2 linked regions of the Macaca mulatta genome follow. The main gene of each other region encodes a partner of the protein of the gene in region 2 in a complex. Links are inferred from orthologs where the notes say so. Each region holds a gene or a part of one and is shown on either strand. Other genes may lie near its edges.

Region 1 (7,669 bases), on a different chromosome or scaffold from region 2:
AGTACACACAGAGGTAAAGGGTCAATGTGGAAAAAAAAAATCATATTTTTAAAGACGAAAGTAAGATTTTTCCCCAAAATTACTATTATTTCAGTTTTTAAGTTCTATAATGTTAACATTCTGAAATTTTAAACAAAATTGTTCAGTAAAGAGATGACAGTACAATCACTATTCAAAAAGACCTCTGCCTATAGTTTGGATGTTTGTCCTCCAAGCCTCAACATTAAAATTTGATCCTCAATGTTGGAGATGGGGTCTAATGAGAGGTGTTTGGGTTATGGGAGCAGATCCCTCATGAATGGCTTGGTGCTGTCCTCATGGTAATGAGTGAATTCTCACTCTATTAGTCCCATGAGAGCTGGTTGTTAAAAAAGAGCCTGGCACCTCTCCCAGACTCTCTCTCTTGCTTCCTCTCTCACCATGGCACACGTGCCAGCTCCACTTTGCCTTCTGCCATGAGTGGAAGCAGCCTGAAGCTTCAACCTGCAGAACTGTGACCCAAATAAACCTCTTATCTTTATAAATTACCCAGTCTCAGCTATTCCTTTATGGCAACACAAATGGACGACGACAATCTCCTTTTAACAAGACCAACTTTGAAAACTATCATAGGTTAACCAAAGGAGGTATGCTCTGGTCTTCTCTAACAAACATGTATCTTCTAGGCACTCAATCCATGGTTTGAATTAAATCAAGATAGATCTTCACAAACAGTTATAAGATTTTTTTTTCTCAGTTATAAGATTCTAAAGGACCAACTAGACATTACTCTATCATTACCCTATGATCTGATCTGTCCTTATTCTAAATGTCTCATAGGCATCTAAAGCAGAGTTAACAGCATCCCTGAAAGCTAAAAGGGAACAGATCATTCCCAGATTCTCTCTGGGCTTGTTCCAGCACAGCACTAAATAGCTGGGCCGTGCCTTTTAGATGGCCTAATGATACGCAGTTTTAGGTTTTAAAACATCTGAATATCATGGGGTTTGCCGATTCTCATCTACTTCCTGTTACATATTTTTAAAATGTCTATTGTGAAGCACTGACTACATATTCATCCAGAGGAACTATGTCAGCATTTACAGGCTTTCAATTATCTATAGTAATGGAGGTTGGGCTAAATGGAATACAGACACCTTCTTTTCACTATAAATTTCAACTGTTATCAAATTTTTACATCAATAACTATTCAGCAATACCTAAAATCTTTTATAGAACTCTTATTTAATATGTAGTACCACCTACATCCTGCTTTCATACTTTCAGCATAATTTAACACATTCAAGGAGACTATGCAAATCAATTCAAAATAGCTATCTATACCAACGGTTTTCAAACTTTTTTTTTCTTTTTTGTGAGACGAAGTCTTGCTCTGTTGCCAGGCTGGAATGCAGTGGCGCAATCTCAGCTCACTGAAACCTCTGCTTCCCGGGTTCAAGTGATTCTCCTGTCTTAGACTCCCAAGGAGCTGGGAATAGGGGCGCATGCCCAGCTAATTTTTGCATTTTTAGTAGAGACAGGGTTTCACTATGTTGGCCAGGATGGTCTCAATCTCTTGACCTCATGATCTGCCTGCTTCCGCCTCCCAAAGTGCTGGGATTACAGGCATGAGCCACTGCACCCAGCCCAAACTGTTTTTTGTTTGTTTATTTTTCCTTTGAGATGGAGTATCTATCGCTCTGTCGCCCAGGCTGGAGTGCAGTGACATGATCTTGGCTCGCTGCAACCTCTGTCTCCTGTGTTCAAGCAATTCTCCCACCTCAGCCTCCGGAAAAGCTGGGATTACAGGCGACCACCACCATGCCTAGCTAAAGCAATACCTAAAACCTTAAGCTATCCAGTATGTTAGGGATTATTAGCTTAACATACTTTCAGGCAGAGTAAATACATACCTTTAATTTATCAGATAAATCTTTAATCTCATTAACTGCTCCATTATATTTATTGGCTAATTCTCTTAATTCTTCCTGAGTCCTTTCATTCATTTCTTTCAGATGGGTACATTCATCTTCAGTATTACTCAGACTTCGCTGCGATTCAAGTTTACAGGCAATTTAATTAGAATAAGTGTATATTTGTTATTTAGAATTCCTTCTAAATTAAATTTATAAAAAGTATAATTCTATGGACTATTCTAAATCAACATCTGCCCTGGACTTTATAAAGCTGAGTTAAAGAATTTCAATTTACTTCAGGTATACACTAAAACAGAAAACGTACCTAAGAATTAACAACAACAACAAAAAAGAAAAGTGGAGGGAGAGTAGGGGCAGGAAAAGGATGCTGCCATTATATAATTACATTTTTGAAAGGCCAATGGGTATGACTTTTAGCTGTGAAAATATTTTAGCCTATCAATCCTTGAAAGCAAGTTTAATAATATCCAGCAATTAATTTAATAAAAAATTAAAAGACAATTAGTAACTTTCTTTCTTTATATGTCAAATTAATCACACAACAGTGAATCAGGCACTATGGGATGAGGAAGCAATACAAACTATACCTGTAGTAGTAAGGAAAGGTATGTTTACCATTTAGTTTCTGATGAGCATTTTAACTAATTCTAGTAATACATTATGTATGTGGTAATTTTGCATTGGTTCAAAGAAATGATCTATATTAGGAATTAAGAGTTTTTGCCCCCAAAGCAATAAAAATTGCATTTTCATTGTTCCTTAAAGACCTAGAAAGGACCTTGGAGATGAATTTACCTTTAAACTTCCTAAATATACGACACAGCTAGTTTTCCTCTCTGGAGAGTGAATTAAAAAAGAACAAGAAGTGTAGTCTCTTGGCCTTACACTGACCACCCTCAAATAGAAGCAAAGCAAAACCAAGTGACAGGAAATCAGTTCCCCAGCACATATCATGGTCTGCTGTATGGAGGGTGAATCCTAAGCAGAATGCAAACAGTAAGATTCCCTGGTTACGTTTTTATTTCCTCAGCCATTGACTAGGGAGCATAAGTACCAAAACTCACATGGTTATGTGGAGAATTCCTGTCAATGAAAGCAGCATAACTGTTCCTTCCCACCTGACAGACAGAAAATATTTCCTAACTATATAATAATACCCATGTTTAAAGTATCCTGGAATGCTTGAGATTTTTTTAAACACTCATAACATTATTTAGTAATTTTTTTTAATTGAAATACCTCAACTTCTGAAAGTTTTCTAACCACTTCAATTTTCTCCTGAAGAACCCGCCTCAGGGACTCTTTGGCTGTTGTCTCATAGTTATGTTTATCCTCTTGTAATGCTATAAGTTCCTTTCGTAAACTATCTTCTGTTTGATTCTAGAATAAAATATATTTATAATTATAGACAAGTTATTTTTTTAAAGCATTTGTTTGAGAAAAATTAACACATTATGACATACTTTAAATTGTATATTAAGGTACCTCCAAACACAAATGATGCTGGCCCTGTATTAACTAAAGATGTATTTAAAAGTTGCATAAGTAAATTATGCCTTCATAAACATATTAATTTCCACTTCCTATAGAAAAAAAAGTTATAGGCAATTAAGAATTTCTCTAAAATATACAAAATTAATTACTCTTATATTTGTCATATTTTCTGCAAATTCCCATATTTACATTTGTAGGCAAAAATAATCAATTACCTTCAAAGGCACCAAGCATTTTAAAACAATGGTTAAAACAAAAAGAATAAGCGTACCATAGGGGAAAAGCAGACTTCATGTCTGGGGCAGGAAATGTACAAAATGAGCCTGAAACATCTTGTCTGAAATGACAGCATGAAGCTATCAATCTGAAAGACATTTACACAGACCAAAGATGGGATAATTCGAGCATCAATAAGAAAAATAGGCTGGCCGCAGTGGTTCAAGCCTGTAATCCCAGCACTTTGGGAGGCCGAGATGGGAGGACTGCATGAGCTCAGGAGTTCAAGACTAGCCTGGGCAACACAGTAAGACCCTGTCTCTAAAACAAGAAAAACAACTGCACCAGATTTAAATACATCAAATGTGTTTAAATCTAAGTGAAGGGAGAAAACACTTCATGGCCAGTCTTTGGTAGATGAAAAAGAACCAATTCATTATTCTGAAATCTAATAAATAAGGGGAGAAAATCACTTATCTTGCTTTCCCCATAAAAAACATACCTCAGGGTTATTTAAATTTTTTTATTCCAATAGCTTTAGGGATACAAGCGGTTTTTGGTTACATGGATAAATTATGTAGTGGTGTTGTCTGGGGTTTTAATGCACTCATCACCTGAGTAGTGTATATTGTATTCAATAGGGAGTTTTTCATCCCTCACTCCCCTCTCACTTTCCCAACTTCTGAGTCTCCAATGTCCATCATACCACTCTGTATGCCTTTGCATAACTATAGCTTACCTTCTACTTATAAATGAGAACATTTGGTATTTGGTTTTTGACGCCAGAGTCACAAAAAACAATGGCCATTGTTTTTTCCTTTTTTTGTTTTTTTAGAGACAGGGTCTCTCTTTGTCACCAAGGCTGGAGTGCAGTTCTGCAAACATAACTCATTGTAATCACAAACTCCTGGGCTCAAGTGATCCTTCCACCTAAGCCTCCCAAGTAGCTAGGACTATAGGTATGTACCACCATGCTAAGCAAATATTTAATTTTTGGTAGAGACTGGGTTTTGCCATGTTGCCCATACTGGTCTCAAACTGTCCCCGCTTTTTTTTTTTTTTTTTTTTTTTGAGACGTCTCGCTCTGTCGCCCAGGCTGGAGTTCAGAGGTGATCTTGGCTCACTGCAACCTCTACCCCCGAAGGTTTAAGCAATTCTCCTGTCTCAGCCTCTCGAGTAGCTGGGATTACAGGTACATACCACCATGTCCAGCTAATTTTTGTATTTTTAGTAGAGATGGGGTTTCGCCATGTTGGCCATGCTGGTTTTGAATGCCTGACCTCAAGTGATACGCCTGCGTCGGCCTCCCAAAGTGCTGGGATTACAGGCATGAGCCACTGTGTCTGGAAGGAAACTTCTCTTTACAGAAGTAACCCAGCTAAATGAGTGAAGGAATAACAGAATTACATCACTATTTTTGTAACTTTTTTTTGTGGTGGTTGTTGTTGTTGAGACAGTTTCACTCTTGTTGCTCAGGCTACAGTGCAATGGCACAGTCTCGGCTCATTGCAACCTCTGCCTGCCAGGTTCAAGGGATTCTCCTGCCTCAGCCTCCCGAGTACCTGAGATTACAGGCATGTGCCACCATGTTTGGCTAATTTTGTTTTAGTAGTGATGGGATTTCTCCATGTTGGTCAGGCTGGTCTTGAACTCTTGAGCTCAGGTGATCCGCCTGCCTCAGCTTCCCAAAGGGCTGGGATTACAGGAGTGAGCCACTGAGCCCAGCCTTATTTTTGTAACCTTAATGAAACAATGGACTAGGCTGGGATCATTAGTGATTGATAACATCTCAAAAAGAAAGACAACTAGACTTTATGTTGTCCCTTGGTGGAAGAACACAATACCATCCATAAAGGGTTGTTGACAAAAAGAAAAACTAAACCTAAATCAGATCAAATCTCTAGATGAAACTACTAATTTATGCAGTGGGAAGGGGTGCTAAAAAATGTTTAAATAACAATGCAGACTGAGGGAAATTCTAGAGGACAAATGACCCAGTTTTTTCAAGAAATATTAATTGTAATAGAAAAAAGACAGATGTGTATGTGGGTATTCATTACATAATTATTTTTATTTACATGGATGTCTGAAATTTCTCATGACAAAAGATTTAAAAGAATTGTGGAAATGTATAAAGTTTTTAGCATATACTCAAAATGACAGTCAAGGAAATGATGTTACATAAAAAACTATGCATTTCATTTTACACATTTGAGATTAATACCTACTTTGGAGCATGCCTGTAATTGGTTTCCCATAACTTCTAACCGTGATAAGAGTCTATCTTCATCTATTAAAGCCTATTGAAGAAAAATTAAACGTAAGTAAAACCCGAGTAATTATAAAGTCACATGTATATAAAAAAAGGTTGCTACTGACAACAAAAGATATAAAAGCATAAAACTGACCAGCATCCACTGTAAAATGCTAAATTTTCAACAACTTGTTCATTAGTTAGGAAATAACTTTGTCTTTGTTTGCTACATTTTAGTTTATTTAACATGTATGGAATATTAAACTATGTTTAAATGTTTCTTAAATATAAAACAACTGGAATACCTGCCAACTGGTATCTGAAGCCTCTTGGGTGATGGCTAGTAGCCGCTGAAGCGTGGCTAACTTCTGTTCCAACATTTGTTCCCGATGTAAGGCCTCCTAGTATTACAAATCACAAAAGAGATTCCAATAAGCTCATCATGATTCTTTTGAGTGATCAATTTTCAGCACATTCTAAAATATTTTCATATGACATCCCCCTTGATGTATTTTAAAGTATGTGACACTTGATAGTACTTAGTAAAATATACAGCAGTCCCTGCTTATCTCTGGTTTCCCTTTCCAGTTTCAGTTATAGTGCAGTACAAGATACACTGAGAGAGACAGACAGAATGTTGACATTCACATAACTTTTATTCACGTAACAGTATACTGTTGTAATTGTTCTATTATTATTGTTAATTTCTTACTATGCTTAATTTATAAGTTAAACTTTATCATAGCTATGTGTATATATAGGAAAAAACATAGTAGATACAGAGTTTGGCACTATCTGTGATTTCAGGCATCTACTGGGGGTCATGGAACATATTCCCTGCAAATAGGAAATGACTACTTTATGTATATGGGCCACATCATTTTAGTCTCATTTGTTGAGCTGAAAGTACCGCCATTAGAGGTTCTCTAACTGCAACTTCTCCCCTAATAGAAAACAAGTCACCTGTTTTTGTTTTCTTTTTATGCATAATTTGGAAAAGCAAGTTTTTAAAAACATACAATAGAAAAAGCTAATACACAGTGTGTATATAGACATATACCTATACATACACACACACATATACAAGTCATGCACCACAAAACAACATTTCAGTCAACTACAGACTGCATATACACAGTAGTCCCAAAAAATTATAATGAAGCTGAAAAATTTCTGTCGCTTAGTGACATCATAGCCATCCTAACACTGTAACACAAAGGGGCATTACTCATGTGTTTGAGATGTTGGTGTAAACAAACCTACTGTGCTGCCAGTTATATAAAAGTATAGCACATATAATTATATATAGTACATAATACATAATAGTATTCTATGACTGTTATTAGTTTATGCATGTACTATACTTTTTGTTGTTAATTATATATTCCTTCTGCTTACTAAAAAGAAAAAAAGGTTAACTGTAAAATACCTTCAGAGAGGTCCTTTAGGAGGTATCCTGAAGAAGGCACTGTTATCACAGGAGATGACAGCTCCATGCATGTTACTGCCCCTGGAGACCTTTCAGTGGGATAGGATGTGGAGGTGGAAGAGAGTGATACTGATGATCTTGATATTGTGTAGGCCTAGGCTAACGTGTGTGTTTATGTCTTCATTTATAACAAAAACGTTTAAAAAGTAAAAACAAGTTTAAAACATTTTTAATAAAAAGCTTATAATTTAAGAATAGAAACAATTTTTTTTTTTTTTTTTTTTTTTTTGAGACGGAGTCTGACTGTCGCCCAGGCTGGAGTGCAGTGGCACAGTCTCCGCTCACTGCAAGCTCCGCCTC
Region 2 (8,278 bases):
CAAAATATGACCTAACATAGCTTTTAAGAAATCAAGACTACAAGGCTTATACAAGCAGTTCTTTGGCTTTGTAACCCAAATGCAACCAGTTTTAACACTTTTATCTATTTCTTTTGGTATTTAATTCTGTAATTCTAAATAATATGCTTATACTGCTATTTCCTGATCATTAATTTTAGACATTATCTACTTCACTTATTATGGCAGATGAAGGATTTTATCTCACATATAACTTCTCCCCTCTACTCCCTCTACCTTCCCATTATAATATCTCAAGTTATTGCCAATACATAGTTGGTATTTCCACTGATTGCTGTTTACTATATTTCCTTTCTTCAAAAGGATATCAAAGAGTATGAAGGAGGAGTTTTAATTTTAAATCATGAGCACACAGAAAACATTAATATATTACAGTGATGGGATAGTGATGGCATATCTTCCAGACTCCGAAAACTCTGAAATACTGTGAACCTAAAATAGCTACAATCTTACCTCTAATTGGGCTAATTTTTCCTGAATCTTACAAAACTGGTCATCATCCACCTGAACTGCTCTCCTCATCACTTCTCCCATTTCGCAGATTCTGTCAATCTGACTCTCAATTTCCTGTGAAGATATTAAGGAAACAAAGGTGGAAAAGTCACCTGTTCTCTATATATAAAGAACATAAAAGTGTGTGCATTATGATTTTTAAAAGTTCATTTAATCTATGATACAGAAGTTACAATGGAGTTTCACTATAATTTTAGTCCTTAGACATAAAGCCATAGTAAAGTGATCTTGTGGTATTCACAGATAATTTTTTTTTTTCCAAAAAATCAATTGTGCAAGACAGTGTGGCGATTCCTCAAGGATCCACAACTAGAAATACCATTTCACCCAGCCATCCCACTACTGGATATATACCCAAAGGATTATAAATCATGCTACTATAAAGACACATGCACACATATGTTTATTGCGGCACTATTCACAATAGCAATGACTTGGAACCAACCCAAATATCCATCAATGATAGACTAGATTAAGAAAATGTGGCACATATACACCATGGAATACTATGCAGCCATAAAAAATGATGAGTTCATGTCCTTTGTAGGGACATGGATGAAGCTGGAAACCATCATTCTGAGAAAACTATCGCAAGGACAGAAAACCAAACACCACATATTCTCACTCATAGGTGGGAAATGAACAATGAGAACACTTGGACACAGGGTGGGGAACATCACACACTGGGGCCTGTCGTAGGGTGGGGAGAGTGGGGAGGGATAGCATTAGGAGGAATATCTAATGTAAATGACGAGTTAATGGGTGCAGCACACCATCATGGCACATGTATACATATGTAACAAACCTGCACGTTTTGCACATGTACCCTAGAACTTAAATAAAAAAAAGAAGGCCTCCTTAAGGGGATCCTCATTCCAGTTGTATATGTTCTATTGATACCATTACTAAGGGATACAGTTTTTATTTTTTTATTTTTTATTTTTTGAGACGGAGTCTTGCTCTGTGCCCCAGGCTGGAGTGCAGTGGCGCGATCTCGGCTCACTGCAAGCTCCGCCTCCCGGGTTCACGCCATTCTCCTGCCTCAGCCTCCCGAGTAGCTGGGACTACAGGCGCCCGCCACCTCGCCCGGCTAATTTTCTTGTATTTTTAGCAGAGACGGGGTTTCACCGTGTTAGCCAGGATGGTCTCGATCTCCTGACCTCGTGATCCGCCCGTCTCGGCCTCCCAAAGTGCTGGGATTACAGGCTTGAGCCACCGCGCCTGGCCAGGGATACAGTTTTTAAACAAATATATAATGTTTCTTATATTTAAAACCAAGAAGTGAAGAGTAGAATGCATTTTCTGTTTTCACTCTTTGCCCAGACATCAAGTTGATAATCCTATGGTTATCAGTGATATGCATCAGCTCATAAGTAACCCTTCAGTATGTGAACATGGGGAATTTTTAAATACTGGGCTCTTCGATATGGATTTGTGTTACAGTCATGTTATCTTCTCACACCTTCCAAGATTTCAAAGGATCTGATGGCTGTAATTGCAGAGAATAAATGAGTAATCTTTAGTCTATTTCAGAAATAGAAGGCCAGATGATTCCCTTTCCATAAAGGATTAAGTTTTCATCCAATGCCAACTCTGATAAGGCCTTAGTCATTTCTGTGGGTGAAATCTGATCTGATGCAAGCAATGTTATTTTCATTTCTGAAAATTATCTATGTCCAGTGCATCAATCACCCAATAGGTCCACCCTCCAATAAAAATATTTGAAACGGAAAAAAAAATCAGTTGTAGTTTAACTACCCATTGGATGTTGGATACTACCTCTAAGTGGCTGTTTAACTTAAATTTGAATACTTTCACTGGCAGGAAGCTTACTACATTCCAAGGTGCCTTATTCTATCTTTGGACATATCACTTAGAAAGTTTATCTATCTGAGTAAACTGTCTCTTTCAAAGTTCAGGTTTTTTCCTCCATATGAGAATAAATAAAATCTATTTTTCTCTTCCAGTTGAAAGCCATTCAAATATTTAAAATATCTGTTTCCTAAAACTTTTAAGTCAGTAAAATGCATTCAATGTAATTTAAGATGAAGCTTATATTTCACTACATCTCACAGAAGTAGTAGGCTCCAACTTATACATCTAGAATTAAATGACACAGTACACACGAATGTACAATGACAACCATGAAGCACCTACAAACATAAGAACAATTACCGAGTCTCCCAAATTAGATAATAAGCAATCAAAGCATAGAAACTATGCCATGTTTGTTTTTTTTAAAAACCATACTTCTATCCCCTAATAACATAGTATGATGCTATGTGGTTCAGTTTATAAAAGGTTTATTGACTGCTTGCTATATGTCAGGTACTATGTTAGGAATAAAATGTGAATTCAAGTGCCTCACAACCAAGGAGCTTAAGTGAAATGTATAATAACCAACCAAGTATTTACTGGGCACCTTCAACACTAACTGACATTACGTTTGGTGTGAGGGCTAAGAATTAATGAACATTTTCAAAAGAGATCTTGGTGAGGGAGGGGGAACGTTAGTCCCATTCAAATAAAAGGACCTGAGCAACCACTATCCTTCTTTCTATTCATATCTTTACAAAGCCATGGCAAAATAAACAACAAATATGATAAACATGAAAGGAAAACAAGCTTACTTTTCTTCAAAAACAAGCACACATGGCCAGTCACAGTGGCTCATGCCTATAATCCCAGCACTTTGGAAGGCTAACGTGGGTTGATCGCTTGAGCCCAGGAGTTTCAGACCAGCCTGGGCAACATGGCGAAACCTCATCTCTACAAAAAAAAAAAAAAATAATAATAATAATAATAAAAAACCCCACAAAAATTAACAGGGCATGGTGGTGTGCACCTGTAGTCCCAGCTGCTCAGGAGGCAGAGGTGAGAGGATGGCTTGACCCCAGAAGGCAGAGGTTGCAGTGAGCTGAGATCGTGCCATTACACCACAGCCTGGTCGACAGAGCCAGACCCTGTCTCAAAAAGCAAAAAAACAAGCACACAATCTAAAACAATCTCAAGATTTCAATTTGGTTCATTTCAAATTTATTCGAAGTTTCTTACTGCAGAGTGAGACTGGTGAGCTTTCAGGACTGGTTCGGCATCCACAGCTTTTTTAGCAACCATTAACTGTAACATCTGTTTCCGGTACTTGCTCATGATGAGCTCCAAAGCATCCTGGTGTTCCTCCAAGGAAATCCACAGCTCTGTCAAAAAATAAAATAACTTGGCAGTGATGTCTGAGAGACAGTTCCCAAATCCAAAGTCTTAACAGTTAGAATTTTGCAATACTATAGAGATAATATGAATCCAAGGTTGTAAATCAATGTTTCAGTCTACAAAACTGAGCAGTTAAAGTCTATGTTAAAGGTAACTTTCTAGGCAGAGAAGCAAAATCTTGCAGTAACAACAACGGATATGTCATCAGAAGACATGGATTTGAGTTCAGTTCTGTAACTTGCTTGGTTAATACTCATAAGTAAATCATTTAGCTTCTCTGAGCCTATTTCTTAACAGCATTGTGATAGATAAAAATGAAGATATGAGAATACAGTAGAATGATATATGTGAAACCCCTCTGGTAAACAACTATTAATACTACAGTCATTAATAATGTACTAATCAAGCCTAAGAATATATACCCTTAGAGTAAAATTCTGCTGCTTCACCTTGCACAAACAAGAACATAAACAAAACCTTAAATCTTACCTTCAGTGTTTATATTAATATTTAAACATTAAATTTTAAGTCCATGAGGATATGAACTCTTTTGTTACACATCTGGAGATGCTTAAAAATAAACCATGCAATAATTCTAACTCTACATAGCCCCTCTTTGGTAAGCTGCTACAAAATCAGTCAGATGACCTTGAAATGGGTAATCTAACAAACTTTACTGTTACTGAGCCAGCACAGGAGGACTCTCCTACGAAAAGTACTGACCTGGAAATAGATGCACACCCTTGTGAATGTTTAGGGCAATTTTGCAGTAACTTTAAACTATTACCAGATATGAAAAGGCCTGACTAACCTCTGTTTTCCTGTTGCAAGTCTCTAATCTGTGTGTTCTCTTGAGACAGCAGAATGTGAGGTTTGTATTTGGACATGTCCTTCATATCGGATGCATCCTCTTGATACTGGACAAATAGAGACAGTCTAAGCATGCCTTAAAGAGAACAGCGGCAGATGCAACTCAAGTGGCAGAAGTCAGGGCTCTAGGGCAGGATTCTCAGCTCCGACCCAGGAAAAAGGTCTCACCGCCGCCCTCTGAGACCGGGAATAAATTTCAGGCCGAGTTCCCACTTTACCTCGCTCTCCACCCTTCAGTGCCCAGAATCCGAGAGCACTGGACTCCTACCCTCTGCCTGACCTGGTCCGGAAGCGCTGTCCCCGCCTCCCGCATAGCGGCTACCCGCCGGTGCAGCGCTGCCGACTGATCCACCAGCGACTCGGCAGCCGCATCGTGCTCCCGCAGCCTCTCCAGAAGCGTCTTGGCGTCTGTCAGGATCTTCTCGATGGTGCAGCTCATAGCAGCAGCACAACCCCAGCCCCTGCCGGGCTCAGCTACGCGACTCGCTCAGATCTTCTGGGAGTCTGTCTCAGCATTACTGGCGTCACTTCCGGGCACGTTTAAAAGGTGTCTTGGCAGACGCAAGAGGCGCCTGCGCAGTGGCACCCTATTTTGCGGGTTCACCCGCTTTTACCTGTGGCTTCCTTGCAGTCCTGCCTGACGCGGAGCCCCAGACCTGCCCTTACCACGCTCTTGGTTTCCAGTTGCCACAGCCTGGTGGTCAGGCCATGATGAGCTGGGCAGAAGGAAGGTCTCCTTTCCCCACTGGTTTTCATTGATGTGGATTGTTATTCAGTCACAGTTATTTTCTTTTTATTTTCATTTAATTTTTATTTATTTTTTTTCGTTTTTGAGACGGTATCTTGGTATCTTGCTCTTGTCGCCCAGACTGCAGTGCAGTGGCGCGATCTTGGCTCACTGCAACCTATGGCTCCCGGGTTCAAGCGATTCTCCTGCCTCAGCCTCCCGAGTAGCTGGGATTACAGGCATGCACCACCATGCCGGCTAATTTTTCTATTTTTAGTAGAAACGGGGTTTCACATGTTGGCCAGGCTGGTTTTGAACTCCTGACCTCAAGTGATCTGCCTGCCTCGGCCTCCCAAAGTGTTGGTGTGAACCACTGCGCCTGGCCTACTTTCATTTAAGTTTTAAAAAATTGTGGCAAAATGCACATAAAATTTAATATCTCAGCCATTTTTAAGTGTACAGTTCAGTAGTATATTCATATGGTTATACAGCCACCATCAGCATCCATTTCTAGAACTCCTTCGTCTTGCAGTACTGAAGTTCTGCACTCTTTAAACAATAACTCCTCATTCTTCCTTATCCCCAGCCCCTGGCAACCACCATTCTACTTTGTCTCTACAAATCTGACTATTCTGGGTACCTGACGTGAGTGAAATCATACAGCATTTATATTCATATAACTGCCTTGTTTCACTTAGCGTAATGTCCACGAGTTTCATCCACACAGTAGCATATGTTAGAATGTTCTTCCTTTTTAAGGCTGAATAATATGTATATGCCACGTTTTGTTTATCCATTCATCCGCTGGACAGTTGGGTTGCTTCCGCCTTTTGCTATTGTAAATAATGCTGCTATTACAACTGGCTCACGTCTGGCTGTTTGTTGCCTAGAGGCCAAAATCATGAGAAGTGACTGATGATGAAAGGAAAGCAGTTTTACTAATCAAACGCTCGCAGATGGGGAATGGCTACACTCATGCCTTCAAAACAGCATTCCGCTTTTTTTTTTTTTTTTTTTTGTCAACGTATCCCAGAGACAGTATCAGTGTCCAAACTTTAATTTTGTCCCATATCAATGCCAGGGTGGTGTGCTACCTGCCCTGAGTCCATCATGTCACTCCTGCGGCCAACCGACTTAGAGTCAAAAGAGTTACAGCCAATTAAACATTCTAGGCCAGATGGGGAAGGAGGTGGGCAGGCACTCATTAACCTTAAAACTCCTCTTAAGCAATGTTAAGAGCCAAAAACCAAAAACCAAAAGGCAAGGTTACAAAATTGACTTATCTATAAATTCTATGCATTGAGCTGCTGTAATCTTGGCTTGCTGCAATTAGCTATATGAAATGCAAGCATTTTGTTCAGCTGTTTTGGCATCTGTGTGTCATCCTTGATTTGTAGGGTCTGAACTGATTTTAGCCCTCAATACTGGCCCTTACAACATTATGTTATAGTCTCTAGGCCTGAGGGGATTGAAGAGTTTCAACTATTGTAGGTAAAACAAAACAGAAAGAATTAACAACTTTTCAAACACAAAGGTCATAAACCCTGCCTAGTTTTGAGAGTAACAGGAAAGAAAGTTCATACGGAGCTAAACACTTAAATTATTTACTATCAAGGCACAGAATACATTACATTAGTTCAGATAGAGGCAAAATTGTTAAGTGAATCTTAATATTTTTGAACACAAGACTGTCCCTGTGTCTCATGAAAGCAGTTTACTTTGTCGCCTTTGCCTGAGTCTAAAGATGAGGCTTTGGTTAACTGCAGTTTAGTGTCAGATACTGGCAGGAGTTGGTGCCTTCTTTGGATGAGATATGTGTAAAGCCCTGTAACTTGAAAGCACAAGGATTAGTTAATATCACCTGATAAGGACCTTTTCAAGGAGCTGGAGGTGTGATACTGGAGTCTATGACCTGACTGAAAGCTGTAAAAAGATTTTACAACCTTGCAGTGAGTAACTTTTATAGCTTTGATAAACCCTAGCAATAAGTCAGAGACTTAATTTATGATTTTGATTTTGAGGACATCTGTCAAAGATTTCAAAAGTCTCAAAACATTTGATCAAAACAGGATAATATTCATTGTAAAAATAATGTATTTATTTTTATTAATAAATTTGGTTAAATGGTTACTCATTTAACCAAACTGATAATTAAAGACTTTAAAGGCAATTCAGAAGGTTACCTGCACATAAAAACCCGAACCCTTTTAACTCTCAGTTTTTCTAGGCAATTAAAAACCAGTTAAAGAGAGCATGGGAATTATCTTGATAAAACATAAAAATCTTGTTTCTTAAGCAAGTTACTACACAGGCAAAAAACCCCTTCTGCTGTGTGACTGCTTCTCCTTATGGGAAGACCATGCAGATAACCTGAAAGTCAGACTTGAAAAAAGTGCTTGAATTTAATCAGACACAAGAGCGTATTCACGATTATGAGTACAGCAAGGGAATACACCACTCTGAGCAATTGTGTCAGAAGTTTTCTGATTACAATGAAAATCACACTTATCAAGAAAAGCCAAGAGTACAGAATCAAGTTATATTGGAGGAAAACAATGCTTTTATAGAATTCTAAGATAAAACATTTCAGCATCAGGCCCCAACAGTTGGAATCAGAGGAAAAAATTAGAGGAGCTGATGGAAAAAGTTGAAGAGTCCTTTTCAAAGGGAGGAAAAAGCTGAAAACAGCAGGCACAACAAAAGTTGAACGTCTAAGATATGAATCTGAGAAGTTTTGAAAAGAAATAGGTGATAGAATTAAAAAGCAAAAGTTCCTTTAATTTCATTAAGAGTAAACCAATACCTTAGGAAAACCTTATTTAAACCTAGGGAATCATTCATTATTTTTACTTTTATTTTACTTTAAGTTCTGGGATACATGTGCAGAACATGTAGGTTTGTTACATAGGTATACATGTG

What was found. Proteins that work in one complex are often made in the same cells at the same time.
Region 1: the proteins of SIKE1 (region 2) and SLMAP are in contact, whole or in part, in a crystal structure (PDB 6AKM), measured with the Homo sapiens proteins. The link is inferred for Macaca mulatta from reciprocal best matches to the Homo sapiens genes SIKE1 and SLMAP. Residues at the interface, in NP_079349.2 of Homo sapiens: Ile5, Ile8, Leu9, Ala12, Lys13, Leu16, Leu19, Arg20, His22, Asp23, Ala26, Glu27, Leu29, Val30, Ser33, Ala34, Leu36, His37, Val40, Met43, Arg44; in NP_001291349.1 of Homo sapiens: Leu168, Tyr171, Leu172, Glu174, Ala175, Arg178, Glu179, Met181, Leu182, Lys185, Thr188, Leu189, Leu192, Leu193, Ile195, Thr196, Ala199, Ser200, Thr202, Ser203.

What each region holds. Positions count from the first base shown.
Region 1 is NC_133407.1:121,400,610-121,408,278, reverse strand, and holds part of SLMAP (sarcolemmal membrane-associated protein), read right to left. Parts: intron 6,282-7,669; coding exon 6,186-6,281; intron 5,927-6,185; coding exon 5,855-5,926; intron 3,297-5,854; coding exon 3,156-3,296; intron 2,031-3,155; coding exon 1,893-2,030; intron 1-1,892. UniProt on the Homo sapiens protein: Associates with the striatin-interacting phosphatase and kinase (STRIPAK) core complex, forming the extended (SIKE1:SLMAP)STRIPAK complex.
Region 2 is NC_133406.1:125,471,265-125,479,542, reverse strand, and holds the start of SIKE1 (suppressor of IKBKE 1), read right to left. Parts: upstream 5,133-8,278; 5' UTR 5,072-5,132; coding exon 4,913-5,071; coding exon of another isoform or gene 4,901-4,912; intron 4,680-4,900; coding exon 4,574-4,679; intron 3,750-4,573; coding exon 3,607-3,749; intron 607-3,606; coding exon 493-606; intron 1-492.